2 linked regions of the Arabidopsis thaliana genome follow. The protein of the gene in region 1 interacts with the protein of each later gene in a pairwise test. Each region holds a gene or a part of one and is shown in the gene's direction. Other genes may lie near its edges.

What was found. The genes of interacting proteins can lie anywhere in the genome.
Region 2: the proteins of DGK5 (region 1) and ABA2 interact in a two-hybrid assay, tested with the Arabidopsis thaliana proteins (one large-scale study listed by BioGRID).

What each region holds. Positions count from the first base shown.
Region 1 is NC_003071.7:8,986,655-8,996,604, reverse strand, and holds DGK5 (diacylglycerol kinase 5), read left to right. Parts: upstream 1-3,329; 5' UTR 3,330-3,631; exon of another isoform or gene 3,632-3,754; 5' UTR 3,755-3,806; coding exon 3,807-4,130; intron 4,131-4,207; coding exon 4,208-4,336; intron 4,337-4,429; coding exon 4,430-4,515; intron 4,516-4,608; coding exon 4,609-4,735; intron 4,736-4,834; coding exon 4,835-4,883; intron 4,884-5,093; coding exon 5,094-5,176; intron 5,177-5,286; coding exon 5,287-5,354; intron 5,355-5,415; exon of another isoform or gene 5,416-5,761; intron 5,762-5,801; coding exon 5,802-5,876; intron 5,877-6,063; coding exon 6,064-6,151; intron 6,152-6,274; coding exon 6,275-6,391; intron 6,392-6,481; coding exon 6,482-6,787; coding exon of another isoform or gene 6,788-6,811; exon of another isoform or gene 6,812-7,115; coding exon 7,116-7,193; 3' UTR 7,194-7,330; downstream 7,331-9,950. Other genes in the region: photosystem II reaction center PSB29 protein, read right to left, coding at 7,420-7,534, 7,665-7,780, 7,949-8,165, 8,257-8,524, 8,636-8,822; ERF53 (Integrase-type DNA-binding superfamily protein), read right to left, coding at 9,542-9,950.
Region 2 is NC_003070.9:19,489,294-19,495,238, reverse strand, and holds ABA2 (NAD(P)-binding Rossmann-fold superfamily protein), read left to right. Parts: upstream 1-3,588; 5' UTR 3,589-3,711; coding exon 3,712-3,761; intron 3,762-4,434; coding exon 4,435-5,242; 3' UTR 5,243-5,445; downstream 5,446-5,945. Other genes in the region: AT1G52343 (uncharacterized protein), read left to right, coding at 490-1,013; AT1G52342 (uncharacterized protein), read left to right, coding at 2,536-2,799; AT1G52330 (Late embryogenesis abundant (LEA) hydroxyproline-rich glycoprotein family), read right to left, coding at 5,594-5,945. UniProt on the Arabidopsis thaliana protein: Involved in the biosynthesis of abscisic acid. Catalyzes the conversion of xanthoxin to abscisic aldehyde.

The sequences.
Region 1 (9,950 bases):
CATTCATTGCAATGTAGGAGGATGCTAAATCTTCTTCCTCTTCTTTTTGATATATATTTCATCTGCAGAGTATAGAACAGTCTCTGGTGTTGCTGGACCTCTTGTTATCCTTGAGAAAGTTAAGGTATATTTACCAAGAAATTGTTCTATGTCTTGTTTTCTTGATGCATTATTATTGATTTATTGGGATTCCCAGGGACCTAAATACCAAGAAATAGTCAACATACATCTTGGGGATGGAACTACTCGACGTGGTCAAGTTCTTGAAGTTGATGGCGAGAAGGCTGTTGTTCAGGTTTCCAACTATTATTTTCCTCATTCAAAATAATGCAACACGGCCTTTTCTTTATAGTACTGTGGTGCTTGTCTAGGTCTTTGAGGGAACATCTGGAATTGACAACAAGTACACCACCGTTCAATTTACAGGGGAGGTATGTTACTACTCTCTTCTCTTGTTGCGTGATATATTTGGTTTACTCACTCACTTTTGCCAATATAGGTTTTAAAAACCCTTGTCTCATTGGATATGCTTGGCCGTATCTTTAATGGTTCAGGGAAGCCTATTGACAATGGTCCACCTATATTGCCAGAGGCTTACTTGGATATTTCTGGTGAGCACTCACTTTAGCCTCCTCTTGACGCATTCTTTTCCCTCTCACTAAAGAGGCTTCTGATCTTTGGTCTCTCCAGGAAGTTCCATCAATCCTAGTGAGAGAACCTATCCTGAAGAGATGATTCAGACTGGCATTTCAACCATTGATGTCATGAACTCCATTGCTAGAGGACAGAAAATTCCCCTCTTTTCTGCCGCCGGTCTCCTTCACAATGAAATCGCTGCTCAGATCTATCGCCAGGCTGGTTTGGTTAAGCGTTTAGAGAAGTCACATAATCTTCTTCAGGTATTGCTTTTCCCGCTGATAAAATATGACTACGCAGACGATTATATGACATCGTCACTCATTTGTAACTCTACGCAAAAGCTGTACATGTGTAACGCTATTCTTTTCAGTATTGACACTAACGTGTATCACCTTTGTTTGTGAATTTGCAGGACCAGGAAGATGATAACTTTGCCATTGTGTTTGCAGCCATGGGTGTAAACATGGAGACTGCACAGTTTTTTAAACGTGATTTTGAAGAGAATGGTTCGATGGAGAGAGTGACACTTTTCCTTAACTTGGCAAGTATCTCAATTAAGATGTAGATGCCTTGAAAAGATATAGCAGCTCTAATGTTTCCTTGACTTCAGGCAAACGACCCCACTATTGAACGTATCATCACTCCTCGTATTGCTCTCACAACGGCTGAGTATTTGGCATATGAATGTGGCAAGCATGTCCTTGTTATTCTTACAGACATGAGCTCTTATGCTGATGCTCTTCGTGAGGTGAAAAAACCGATATAGGCATTTCTTCTGTTTTTTTCAAGGCTTAATTTAGTGGTTAACGTTGATAATTGCACTAGGTTTCTGCTGCCCGTGAAGAAGTACCCGGTAGGCGTGGATACCCAGGTTACATGTACACTGACTTGGCCACCATATACGAGAGAGCTGGACGAATTGAGGGGAGAAAAGGTTCCATCACTCAGATCCCGATTTTAACTATGCCAAACGATGGTAACTTCTTCCTAGTCGTTTCTCTGGTTGTAGGTGTATATATATATATATATATATATGTTTTGTAGTAATCTTTTGATGTCTGAGATTTCTAATATCCATCCTTCTTCGTTGATCAGATATCACACATCCCACACCAGATCTTACAGGATACATCACAGAAGGACAAATCTACATCGACAGGCAACTTCACAATAGATAGGTACAAATGTTGCGCGGAAGATAAAATTATTTTCCTCGAGAGAGTTGTGGGCTAAATACACCTTGTGTTTGTATTCCATAGATAAACCCACCGATCAATGTCCTTCCTTCTCTATCTCGGCTCATGAAGGTAAAGTAAAGTCTTGTAGATTTTGGACTGGAGGAAGGTATCTCTATTTGGTAGAGATCACTCAGGTGTGCTGTGCAGAGTGCCATTGGTGAGGGGATGACTCGCAGAGACCACTCTGATGTTTCTAATCAGCTGTATGTGAACTATGCAATTGGAAAGGACGTACAAGCAATGAAAGCCGTGGTTGGAGAAGAAGCACTCTCGTCCGAGGATCTGGTCTCTCTATCTCTGTCTTTCTAAATGCCATGTTAAATAATGAATAAACTCTAAGCGTTTCTTTGTCACTCACACTGACAATAAAAACTTGGGGATGCATGCATGCAACAGCTGTATCTGGAGTTCTTGGACAAATTCGAGAGGAAGTTTGTGGTACAAGGAGCTTATGATACACGTAACATCTTCCAGTCGTTAGACCTGGCCTGGACACTCCTCAGGATCTTCTCCCGTGAGTTGCTTCACCGCATACCGGCAAAAACCCTCGACCAGTTCTATAGCCGAGACTCCACCAATTGATCGATCATCCCATGCTTCTTCTCCAAATTGCATCTCTTTTTGTTTTGCTCCTTTGCGCTTTGGTTTGCACCTCTCTGTCCTTTCCCAATAAAAGGTGACTGACCCAATCGCCGGCTATTCTTTTGAACATTCTTGTATCCTTTATTTATCAAATAAACTAAAATTAAAAGAACCTTGGAGACTTGAGCTGTTGCTGATCCTCGAATACTGCTTCAATTGCGATGATATATCTATCTAATAATAATAATAATAATTCCAGAGATAAGTAATTCCAAGAACATACATAACATCGACATGCTTATTATTAAACTGATGATAGTCAATTGTAAAGAGGACAAGATAATAAGAAATGTAAATTGGTCGTCACTGATGACTATTTGTTCTTCTGAAAAAATTGCCTTCAAAATTTTCTGAATATTTTTAATTTATAATATGATTTTGAATCATTATCTAAATATTTTAGTCGATTTGAAATGTTAAACACACATTTTCGTTAATTAGATAATATTAGGTAATATGTATGTTTTCTAAAATTTAAATTACAATATAAAGTAAAAGATTTTTTTTTTTTTGTTACTTTATGTATTATATAATTATTCAAAACAGTTTTAAAATCAAACAAATATGATAAGAGAATCATAATTTTAAATCTTCTAATAATAAATATTATTAATTTATTATTAAATATAGAATATTCCGTGTATGAGTCGGAAACAATTTGAACTGACCTTTTAAATTTTCTATGAACAATAAATACAAACGGATGGAGCATCCATAGAATCCGACAGCATTTTACCCCACCCGCCAAAAAATTCTTGTTATAAATTCTTAATTGCTCTGTTTTACCATACTCACGTTTTCATTGGCTATCTTTGACCGCCTTCTCTACAAGTGCTATAAAAAATTTAACAGCCTCGTTTAAACGTGATTACCAATGAGACGGCCATAATCTTAAAAATCACTCAAAATCTGCCAACCATTCATGACCTTGATATCAAAATACATTCAAATGTATAGAAATACAAAATTCAATAGCACCTAGTAAATTTAAAAGTAAAGCTAAACATTCATGACCACTATAATTTTGGATCAAACAATGCAAACGCAGCACATGACCGAGTCCGCGTCAGAAAAAGGGGCCAACTGCTCCGTAGCCGCCAAGAATCTCGCAGGTGTGGAACTTTCCTCCTTTATTCGATGAATCTCTTTCTTCATTCTTCTTCTTCGAATTGTACGTTTATTGAAAGACAAGTATATTTTCTTATTTACTATATAAAGTAATTTCACTTTCTCAGATCCCGATTCCTCTTGATCATCGTCTTCTTCTACCAAAATTGTTGCGCGACAATGGAGAAATACAACAGTTTATCAGATTTTCTCAAGGAGTTCTACATCCCTACGTACGTCCTCTCGGCGGAAACAGAAGAGGAGGAGGAGGAGGAGAGTCGTCCTACACCTGCGAGCCCCGTCCTTGTCTTCATCAACTCCAAAAGCGGTGGTCAGTTGGGTGGCGAACTCATTCTCACCTACCGATCTCTTCTCAATCACAATCAGGTCTTTGATCTCGACCAGGAGACTCCAGATAAAGTGCTCCGCAGAATCTATCTTAACCTGGAGAGGCTCAAAGATGATGATTTCGCTCGTCAGATTCGGGAGAAATTAAAAATCATTGTAAGAGAATGTTGTTTTCTTTGTTTCTTTCTCTCCAATTGAATGAAACATCATCTAATGCCATCCATTATTATTAGGTTGCAGGAGGTGATGGCACTGCTGGGTGGCTCCTTGGAGTTGTATGTGACCTTAAATTGTCACATCCTCCTCCAATTGCCACTGTACCTTTGGGTACAGGAAACAACCTTCCCTTTGCTTTTGGATGGGTGTGTGTCTTACTTACTACTACACTCCTCCTCTCAATACACTTGCCTGCATATGTTTTATTATTATTATTAAGTGTATGTATCTCTCTACAGGGAAAGAAGAATCCAGGAACAGATAGGACTGCAGTGGAGTCGTTTTTGGAACAAGTGTTGAAGGCAAAAGTGATGAAGATTGACAAGTAATGTTTTACATATCTGTCTCCACAGTAGTTTTTATTAGTCTTTACTTTTGGTGAATAACTAACAGACGACTATCTATCTGCTGCTTCAAGTTGGCACATACTTATGAGGATGAAAACTCCCAAAGAAGGTGGTTCTTGTGATCCTGTTGCTCCTCTTGAGTTACCACATTCTCTACATGCATTTCACCGTGTTTCTCCAACTGATGAACTAAACAAGGTGATTTACCTTCTTCTTCCCATTATTATTATATAGCTGTGTCTCTTCCTTTTTTTTCTGTCTTATCTTATATAGAAACACACCCTTTATGTTTTTCAGGAAGGCTGCCACACTTTTCGAGGAGGGTTCTGGAATTACTTTAGCCTCGGTGAGATATTTTAGCTTCAATCTAACTTTGGATTTCCCACAAGTCATTAGCAAAGTTAGATTTCCCCTTAGGAGTTGGTTGATGAGCTAACTTATTGAGTTTCAATCTAGTTATTGCATTGTTTGTATTGAAATTAAATAAACGAAACCAGCTGATATCCTTGAAAGACAAATCTCCTTGAAAGTTCTTCTTTCTATTGTGCTTATGAAGGAATGGATGCTCAGATTTCTTATGCGTTTCATTCTGAGAGGAAGCTTCACCCTGAAAAGTTTAAGAATCAGCTGGTTAATCAGGTACCTTTTGAATTTGACCTTTTAGATTACACCTTCTCTTTTAATACCCCTTCACTGGGATTTATACTAAACAAAGAATAAATACTTTGCATTTTGCTTTACAATGCCAGAGTACGTATGTAAAGCTTGGTTGCACGCAAGGATGGTTTTGTGCCTCTCTTTTCCACCCTGCTTCACGGTGTGTAAGATGTAGACATACTTTTCGTTTCATTGTTTTCTGTTTCTGAGTCTCAGGTCCCCCTCAACTTCTCATTCTCATTCACTGTTTTTCTCTTTCTGAGATTCTTGGACATGAATGATTATAATGCTCTGCAACACTACTGCCTTATCTTTTGTCTTTAGTATACTGTTCTAGTGTCAGTAATTAGAAATTTGGTACCCATCATTATTTTCAGCATTTGTTCTTTTTACTGCTTGGGTCTCGTTGTGTGCTAAACAACATCAAATTTGAAATACTCTCCAACATCAATATCGAAACATGTAATCTTATGCTGGTTTTATATTCTCGGTTAAGTGGTTCACATTTCTTACATTTCCTGTCTTTTGGCTGTAATTTAATTTCTGTTTATATATGATTTTGCTCTCTATCACAATGTTAAGGAAAGCTCTATGGCTTCCAATGCAGGAATATAGCTCAGCTTGCCAAGGTTAAGATTGCAACTAGAAATGGCCAGTGGCAGGACCTCCACATACCACATAGGTAATTTTTATTAATCCTGAGGGATCCCATTGGACACAGTTCAGGATGGACATGTTGGATAGTCTTGGGATCTTTCTCTGTTTGTAACCTTTAACTATATATGGTTACATTTCAAATGTTACAAAGCAATGGTTACATGATCGAATATGAACTACTCCAATTCGGACATTTGTTTCTACTCTTGCAGCATCAGGTCCATTGTATGTCTGAATCTGCCCAGCTTTTCGGGAGGATTAAATCCTTGGGGCACACCAAATCCCAGGAAACAACGTGATGTAGGTTTTACGAACTCTTGACATTGCCTGAGTGCTACATAAGTTTCTGATATATCCTCGTTTGTGTATTTATCTTCGCCATGGTAAAATAATATGCATTTTTCTTTGTTGTGACACAAACAGAGAGGCTTGACTCCACCATTTGTAGATGATGGCCTCATTGAGGTTGTTGGGTTTAGAAATGCTTGGCATGGTCTTGTTCTGCTCGCTCCCAATGGACATGGGACACGACTTGCCCAGGTAAGAATTGTACAAGTTGGAAATGATAACGATACACACAAATAAAGATGTGATGATTGAGTGCATACAAATGATAACTTCTGTGATTAGGCAAATCGTATTCGCTTCGAATTTCACAAAGGTGCAACCGACCATACATTCATGAGGATGGATGGGGAGCCCTGGAAACAGCCACTGCCACTGGATGATGAAACTGTGATGGTAGAGATTTCACACCTTGGCCAAGTGAACATGCTTGCAACTCATGACTGCCGGTCCAGAAGTGTGTTTGACCCTTCAACACCCCGCCATCAGGATGGTGCAGAAGATTATGATGATAATGAAGACGACTCAGTGGCTGAAGGCGAAGAATTTAGAAAGTTTGGTGCTGCGGATACCTTCAAGATTCCTGATGAGGTTGATATTTCTCAACTTAGTTAGACAATTAACCATTTTCATTGTTGATTCTATGCATTCTTCCTCCGGACTCCAATTTTTTTATTCACTCTTTCATAAAGGAGCCAACTAGCAGCAACTGGTTTAGATTGGTAACCATCTTTTTTCTTTGCTTTTGTTTGGTTGTTCACGTTTAATGGCCGAGATAATGTATCTGGATTTATAGCAACACAGATTCTCGTTTAACGCACATGTACTGCAGCAGTTAGCAGGACAGTGCAGAGACGCCAAATGCGAAACTTTCAGATGTTGCAACTCCTAAACATAGAATCTGACCTTTTTTTTATAGGGAGAACACAGTAATAAAAAAGGAAGGGCTTCAAGGAGGAGAAATTCAAATGTTCATGGTTGGTCACATGTGCTCTGAAGACAGTGCCTAAATCTTAAAGAAACTTGTCATATACTAGTAACAGCACAACAGTAACCTCATCAATGTATAAAATACTACATGAATCAACATTATGTAAACTCATGTAATTGAAAGGAAAAAAAGCAAACATATACACGTCTGAAATGTTCTTAGAAATGAGATATATATGTTCTTGGGCATAGTTGTTGCTAAGAAAACAAAAAAAGAAGTCACAAATGATTTTCTAAGATTTCCGTTCAACCAAGAAAGATGGGTTATATAGAGTATCTCCCAGACACTTGGAGATTGTTTCGTTAGCCTTCTGAGATTGGGCTCTTTCTCCTTGCTTCTTCTTCTCCCTGAGTAACCAAAAGTATAAAGATCCAAGTTAGGCTCTATATAGAAGTTTCATGGTGCAGCAAGCACCGTATATTCATTCAAAAATAGACCAGTGCCTAGTCTATTTAGATAGGGATTCAGTATCAGTACCTCTCGACATACTCCTTAAGCAATTCCTTGGCTTGGACAAGCTTTGAAAGCAGGTTACGATACACATCCAGGTCCCGATCCACGCTTTTCTTGTTGATATTTAGGGATGCACAAAGCTGTTTCATGAGACACAAAGATCAAAATTACCGTGAGATGTCAGAGAGAATACAGTTGCACATTGCCAGTGAACATAATGGATACAAAACTAGCAACATTTCTTCTTCCTCTAAACACAAGATTAAGCTGTTAATATAGATTAGCAAACCGAAGACGAATAGAATCACCTTGTCCAAGACAGTTGGATCAGTAGCACTTGCAAGCTCAAGCAAACGAAAGAGCCCAACAGCGAAGAACCTGCTGTAACTAAACCCCTCCTTACTACCAGCTCTTCCTGCAATGTCCTTAAGAACTGCTTCAATATCTCCTTCTTTAGAGGAAAAGTCAACTAGTGAAGCAGAAGTCTGACTTCGTGCCCATTCCTCCATCTTCTGAGCATCAATTCTGTACAAAAAAAGTTATCATCTTTAGAAAAAGACATTCAACAAGAAGACATTCATTATCAAGGAGAAGATGGAAGCAGGAAGAAGCAAACCGGTATTGCTTAGGATCCTCATTCAAGGCTTCAATGTAAGCCTTAAAAATGGCATCTCGGTCTTGATCACTCGGATATCCTTCCATGAGCTGATCATATACAGTGACAAATCCAAGGGCAAAAACAGGATCATAACGATAAGTCTTCTTATACCTCATCAAATGCTGCTGGACAATGAGCTCCTGCAAAACCGTGTTGTAGATACTCGGGATGGGTCGCTTGTAAGCTTTTAGGAATTTCGACTTTGTCTCTGATACAGGAGGCACATCTGACCAACAAAACCACAAGAGAGTGAATGCAGATAAAGTCAGAGCCTTTTTCAATACAAAACAAAGGAGAATGAATTGTGAAATGCAATGTGAAGTTCAAGAAGAGTCACCGGCGGTAACATTGGACATGCAGTGAATAAGAGATTTCGAAGTGGAACGCGAATTCAAAGAAAGGCGAGAAAACTTTGTGCAGATGCGAATTGCGGAGGCGAGAGGACGAGAAGATGCGAAATTGGAGATCTTGTCCGATTGACCCAAAGCTGGGAAGGAAAGAGAAGAGATTGCAGTTGCAGCCATCGCTAAATTGAAGTGAGAAAGAGAGGAGAAGAAGAGTTGTTGTTGTTGCTATGTTTAATCAGAAGAGTTCTCAAGTAATAGCCATTGGAAGGATGATGATGGCTCTGGTTGGATCTTCTGAGTTTCGACTTTCGAGTGGCTTATCCAACTCCACGAGATGTCGGTAGTGTGACACGTGTCCCTTGTCTGTCCACGTTAGGATTAGGCCCATTTACTTTGGATTTTGCTAGAGCTCGGTCCATCTAATAAAAGCCCATAAATAAATGCAGCATATATCACATGTACATAATGTTGCTCTCTGTTTCATTATCAATTGTACAAACTACAAAGTCCGTTTATTCATGCTCAAGATTCATCAGAATTCAACTCGTTAGTACATTGATCGTTTCCAAAAATGTCTTACGTCGAATTAGACATATGTACTTAAATCTTATTTAGGTTTTGATCTTCTTCTTTTTTTCAGTTAAAAGGGTTATTGATCACTTCTCACTCTCTTTCTATGGAATAAGATGAACTGATGAAGTACAAACACCAAATACTTAAGTTTTATATGTGAAAATGATTGACCCCATTAGATTCATAGTCACCGATCAAGAAAAAAATGATGGTCGAAAATAGAATCTAAAATGTGGAAGATGACAAAAACTGTCTCCACCCAAAAAAAAAACACAAGCTAGATCAGTCATACAACTAAGCATATCTATATTCTAACAAAGGTCCTAAATTGTATCAGAAGAAGAGTTTTGTGTGGCGTCAAGATCGTCCTTATGGTTAGAAATGGGAAAGTGGTAATCATCCCATAGAGGGCTTCCAGGTCCCCATTCCTCTGGAATTGCATTGAACCATGCCTCAGCCCAACCCGTCTCCTCACTCACCCCTCCTACTGCCAATGCCGTGCTCGAATCATCCTCTCCTCTTCTGCTTGAGTCTTCACTAGTAGTCCCCGTCTCACATTGTTTCTGATGCACGGGAGTTGGCTCTTGTTTATTGAGAAAAAGTTCAGGGAAATTGAGCCTAGCGGTCTCTCCCCTCAACTTGAAGGCCTCGCGGTCGTAGGCCATGGCGGCTTCTTCTGCTGTATCGAATGTCCCTAGCCAGAGACGTGTCCTGTTTCGTGGCTTACGGATC
Region 2 (5,945 bases), on another chromosome or scaffold:
ACATGACAGTTTGGTTTGCAACAAGATAAAGAGGCTGGGTTCTCTTTTATTTTTTCAGTTTCTGTAACTTTAAAACGATTAAATTTCCGTTGCATTTGATGTAAACACGTTTTTCCGAATAAATTTTACAATTTATTCAAAACAAAAATGAAAAAATTAGTTAATTATGTAACTACATCCATAATTTAAGTTACCAATCACACATAAATAATATTTTTTTGTAGAAAATGTGAAACTATAATTTTTAGTGTTTTAATCAAAGTTACTTTGTAATTTGTATAAATTCATGTTGTGTTTCACATATGGCGTATTTAAAACTTTAGAATTAAATTTTAAGAGAAAGGTACTATTTGATATTTTCACATATAGACGCTTATTATATGCTAATTTTCATGTATTAATTGATTGCACAATATGCGAGTGAAACATTCAAGACTTGAAATTGAATCGTAATGATTTTTGTCTCTGACATGACATGCATGAATGCAGAGGAAGTAAAGGCAAGATCAGAAGAACCAAAACTCTCGACTGTTCTTCACAAACCCTTGAAAATTGAACCAACAAAACAAGAAGAAGCAACAAGATCACAAAAGAGTCAAAATCAACGACCTATATGTTTCTTCAGCTCCAAGAAACTCAATGCTAGCATCATTAGCTCAGAAAGAACTCGGAGTTTAAGCTCTCTCACAATAGCCGCATTTGTGGTTTTACTCCCGAGATTGAACATTACAAGCTCAAACACTATCTTAGCTTTGAGACCTCTTTGGTTGCTTATTCTTACAGATTGTGCCATAGTAATGTCTCATCTCACTACGGAAGCTTCTGGAGGAGGATTGAGCCATGAGATGGAAGAAGATGGAAAGGGAAGAGATGGTAATAATGGAGAAAACTGGTCTGATGCAGAGAGGCTTCTAGAAAGAGGAGTTGTTGTGTATCAAGCTCTTCGTGGAATGTTCATAGATTGTAGTCTTTATATGGTTGTTGTTGTTATTTTTGGAGCCTCTCTTTTTTAAGTTTGTTTGTTTTCTGATTGTTATTATCTAATTACGATTTTGTTTGCCTTGATGCTCTTTCGTTACAGAAATTTTTTATTTGAACTAGTAAATTTTTATATCAATCCGCTCACATTTTTTTGGAAACTAAATTAATATACCTTCTCTACTTCCATTCCAATGTTTTGGAGTTTTTTACAAAGATTAGGGAGGCTTATTGCGAGCAGGATATTTTATAGTTTTAATTTTTGTAAGAATCCACTGTTTATAGGTTAACGAATTCCAAATTCTTAGTAAAATCCATTGTTATTAGTTTGAAGACTTTGAAATTCCTTTCTAAAATCTCTAGTTATTCAAAAAAGTTAGTTACCATTGATTATCTAATTAATTCTTTCAAATATCAAATGTTATTGGAATATGGATTCTGTACGTCTCAATTATTTAGTACAAAAGTCATATTGTGCATGCATTCATATTGGCTTTTTTTATTTCTTTCTTATTTTTAATAGGTCTACTAAGAAGTAATAATATCAAGATCAGAAGAATCATATCCAAAAGTAAGAAAAAGTAGGCCAAAACTTTCAAAAGAATCATATCCAAAACTAAGAAAATATAAATATATCTAGTCCTTTTAATCTTGATATAAATGAAATACAATACAAACGTAAAGTTATTCAAATCTTACAAATTTTGGTGTTTTATGAAAAATCATTTTGTAACGAAGAAATCTTGAACTTTTAATTCATAATCTCTCTGGATTTAGGATCAACCATTAGTAGGAGATGTTACGTAAAACAGTCTTTTGCACATTCTTGGTTTGATAAATAACATATTTAAACTAATAACGTTTCAAATGATTCAATCGCGATATTTTTCTAACTATAAGATAGTTTTAGTTGTTGTGAATTTCTGATTGATATATGACCTCAAAAGTAGTAAGTTTATCTAAAGAAGATGAGTGACAATGGGAAGCCCAAAGAGAAAGGAAGTGATGTCGTAATCGGCCCACTCCCACCGCTTATCCTCTCCAATCACTTCATTTTCTCTTTACCATATAAAATCTCCAAACCAATTTGTTTCATCCAAAGAGTTATGGTCCACCATCCACATCTTTCGCAAGAAAAAACTTGCTTTAATAATATTCTTTTCTTTCTTTAGCTAATTAAAATCCATAACAATATTTCTCTCGTCATCAAATTATTTCCTTAAAAATTTATAAGATCGGATATACACTAGAACAAATTTCTGACCTCATGGTTTCTTTCTGAACACAAATCTCTAGACGTGCATCAAAACCATTAGCCACGTGTGACGTTTCGAAACTTTGTTTGGCGACATCTCTTCTACGAAACACCTAAAAGATAAATATGTAACTAAAATAATTTAATTTCCAAAAGAGTGACTAACATCTTTTTCTTTTTTATTTTTGTTATCAAGAGTGACGAGTATTTATACTCGACTTTTCTTTTGGTAAACCACACACACAAAATCTTAAATAAGAAGAATCTTTTAAATTTTTGTGTTGAGTGTGAAACAAAAAAATATGTGTTACAAAATTCTTCTACCTCTTGTTATTCCTCCGGAGAGCTTCCACGAAAATACTCCGGTGGCAGAAGTGACGGTGGCAACAGATGTGGAAGCCACCGCTGGTCACCGTAGCGGTGGTGACGGTGGCGGTGGAAAGAAGAAGTGTGTGTGTTCACCGTCGAAGCATCCAAGATCGTTCAAGTGTAGGTATCATCAACATGAATATCAATGGCTTCCTTCTTCTTCTTCTTCTTCTTCTTCTTCATCCCTCCACAAATAACACATATCATCAATTCATCATGTAAACAATAATTATATTTTTATTATTCATGGTTATTTTGATTCGTTAAGTATTTCAATCAAAGTAGAAATTGTGTTGTGGTTCTTGTTTTTCTTAAAATGCTTATTCGTCAGAATCTTTATATAACGATGTTGTTTCATCTCAAAGTACTAAATATCGGCAGCAATAATCTTTTTAAAGGAATACGTGGTTACTGTGATTTCTGTATAACTTATTAGCTTTTTCGCTTAAAAACGGTTCATAAAAAAATGATGTTACGTGTCGTGACTAATTAATCAACCGTATGAGACTATACTTCTTCACAATTATTTACGCATTTTCATATGGTTTTGGAGTTTCAATTTTCGAGATACAACTTTCACTAGAGAAATATCGGAAAACATAAATTACATTTGTGAAAATTCGTAGAAACACATGTGCGAAGATCAATCATGACCCATGAATGAATGTAATCGATCTCACGGATGATCTACAGAAAGTGAAACCACAAATAACCCAACACTATACTGTAATTCTGTATCATGGACGGTTTGATACGGTTTGGATTTCGGTTCGATTACGAATCATAATTGTATCCTTAATTTTCTAAATCGGATCGGTTTGGTTTGGTGCAAATTGGATCGGTCTAACTTAACGTCTCTAAAATCCGCAAAATGTGCTTATAGTCAAATCCGTTAGTCTTTTATTGGGCTTACAATTTAAGGCCCATAAAAACCCAATGACGAAGCAGGACTTGCTTTTTGATAGCCGTATAGAGACCGACACCAAATAGCCGAGAAACAACGCAAACTCCGATTGAGAGGTGTTTGCATGATTCCTGAGCTTGTCTGTGTCAATAGTGAGGCACTACATCGAGGAATAAGAAAGAAGATCTAAGGAGCTAAAGCTATTATGTCAACGAACACTGAATCTTCTTCTTATTCTTCTCTTCCTAGTCAAAGGTATAAGCTTTCTCCAACTTTTTCCTCTGATCCAACTCTTTTTGTTTGATCTTCGTTTACTTTACCTTTTTTTCCTTCTTGGGTCATTCTAAATACTGAAATTTTGTTCTTTGAGGGTCAAATTAACAGTTGATAATCAGACCATGGAGTTTTTTCAGTTTCATGAGTGTCTTTGCTCTGCTCACGACAGATTTGAGATCTAGTCATGGTTCTGTTTGATTTATTGATGTCAAATCTTGAAATGTTTATGATCTCTAGGTTTCAGTCTCTTTGCTTTTTATTATGATCTTCAAACATTTGGATTAGTTTTATCAGTTCTGATTCAATAAACTAGTGATATACATTTGGCTTTTGTTTACAAATCTCTCAACTTCAGATTTGTTATTTTGTGTCCCATTTGATTCATCTTTACCTCCTTTGCACGTTCTGTTTCAAAACTGGATTTGTGGTCCTTTCTTTTCACCATTGTAGTTTTGTGGCCCAGATCTTTTTTTTTTTATTTTGTGGCCCAGATCAATTTATGAATAAAGTTCTTTTTTTTTCTGTTGCATTTTCTTTCACTGGTCTTAAGTTTGATGTAACATCTCAACCTTATTATTAGGAGACTATGGTGCGATTGGTTTAATCCAATTTAATTACTTGCTTTTAATCTCTTGTGTTCTTGATGTGACAGGCTTTTGGGTAAAGTGGCATTGATCACTGGAGGAGCCACAGGGATAGGTGAGAGCATTGTTCGTCTGTTCCACAAGCACGGTGCCAAAGTCTGCATTGTTGATCTGCAAGATGATCTCGGAGGTGAGGTGTGTAAAAGTCTGCTTCGTGGTGAGTCCAAGGAGACGGCTTTTTTCATCCATGGCGATGTTAGAGTGGAAGATGACATTAGCAATGCGGTTGACTTTGCAGTCAAAAATTTTGGGACGCTTGATATACTTATCAACAATGCAGGATTATGTGGAGCACCGTGCCCTGATATTCGTAATTATAGTTTGAGTGAGTTCGAGATGACCTTTGATGTGAATGTGAAAGGAGCTTTTCTAAGCATGAAACATGCAGCTCGTGTAATGATACCGGAGAAGAAAGGGTCGATAGTTTCCTTATGTAGTGTGGGAGGTGTTGTGGGAGGCGTTGGTCCACATTCTTATGTTGGTTCCAAGCATGCTGTTCTAGGCTTGACTAGGAGTGTTGCAGCGGAGCTTGGACAGCACGGGATACGTGTGAACTGTGTTTCGCCTTACGCGGTTGCAACTAAACTCGCTTTGGCTCATTTGCCGGAGGAAGAAAGAACGGAGGATGCATTTGTTGGTTTCAGGAATTTTGCTGCTGCAAACGCGAATCTAAAAGGGGTGGAACTGACGGTTGATGATGTAGCGAACGCTGTTCTGTTTTTGGCTAGCGATGACTCGCGGTACATAAGCGGAGATAATTTGATGATTGATGGAGGATTCACTTGCACTAACCACTCCTTTAAAGTCTTCAGATGATGCATTTTGCTAAAGAATGTTGTTTAATGTTTATTGTCCGCCAATTTATCATGTCTATCAAATAATTTAACTGTGGAGCTTATTGTGGTTTTAATTGTTACTTTTAGCATTGTAGAAATGTTTGATGTTAACTACATTTCTTACTGGTAGACATTGAACAAAATCAGATTCTCATAATGATTAAAAAGATTGAGTAGCAAAAATATCATAATGATGTATTGATGTTTCTTGAATTAGAGAGGACTACAACTTTGACGAGAAATTGTCTGATTAACAGTATCTACTAGAATCCCACATGCCACTTTTGCCTGTTCATCAAGATAATTATAAAACAAAATTCCATTAATCTGATTAGAAACTGCATACATTTTCTATGATTATATAATCTAGAAAGTCAAATTCAAATGATGAGAAAGTATAAAGTTTGATAAACCAAATAATTGAGTAAAAACTCAAGTTCCTTACCTTTAAAGGGAAACGGAAGAACAAAACGCCAAGTTTCCCGTTAGTCTCCGTAACGGTGTCAAATTCAACGGAGCCTTTAGCTAAATCGTGAATCAAATGAATGACGTCAGGAAACACCATGACGCCGTCAAGCTCAGCCTCCGCGTCAAGGTAAGAAGAACCAAAAGCCGTCACGTGCCCGCCATCAGAACTCACGTGACCTAACGTCTTCCCTCTATAGTCAATCGTGACGTCAAGA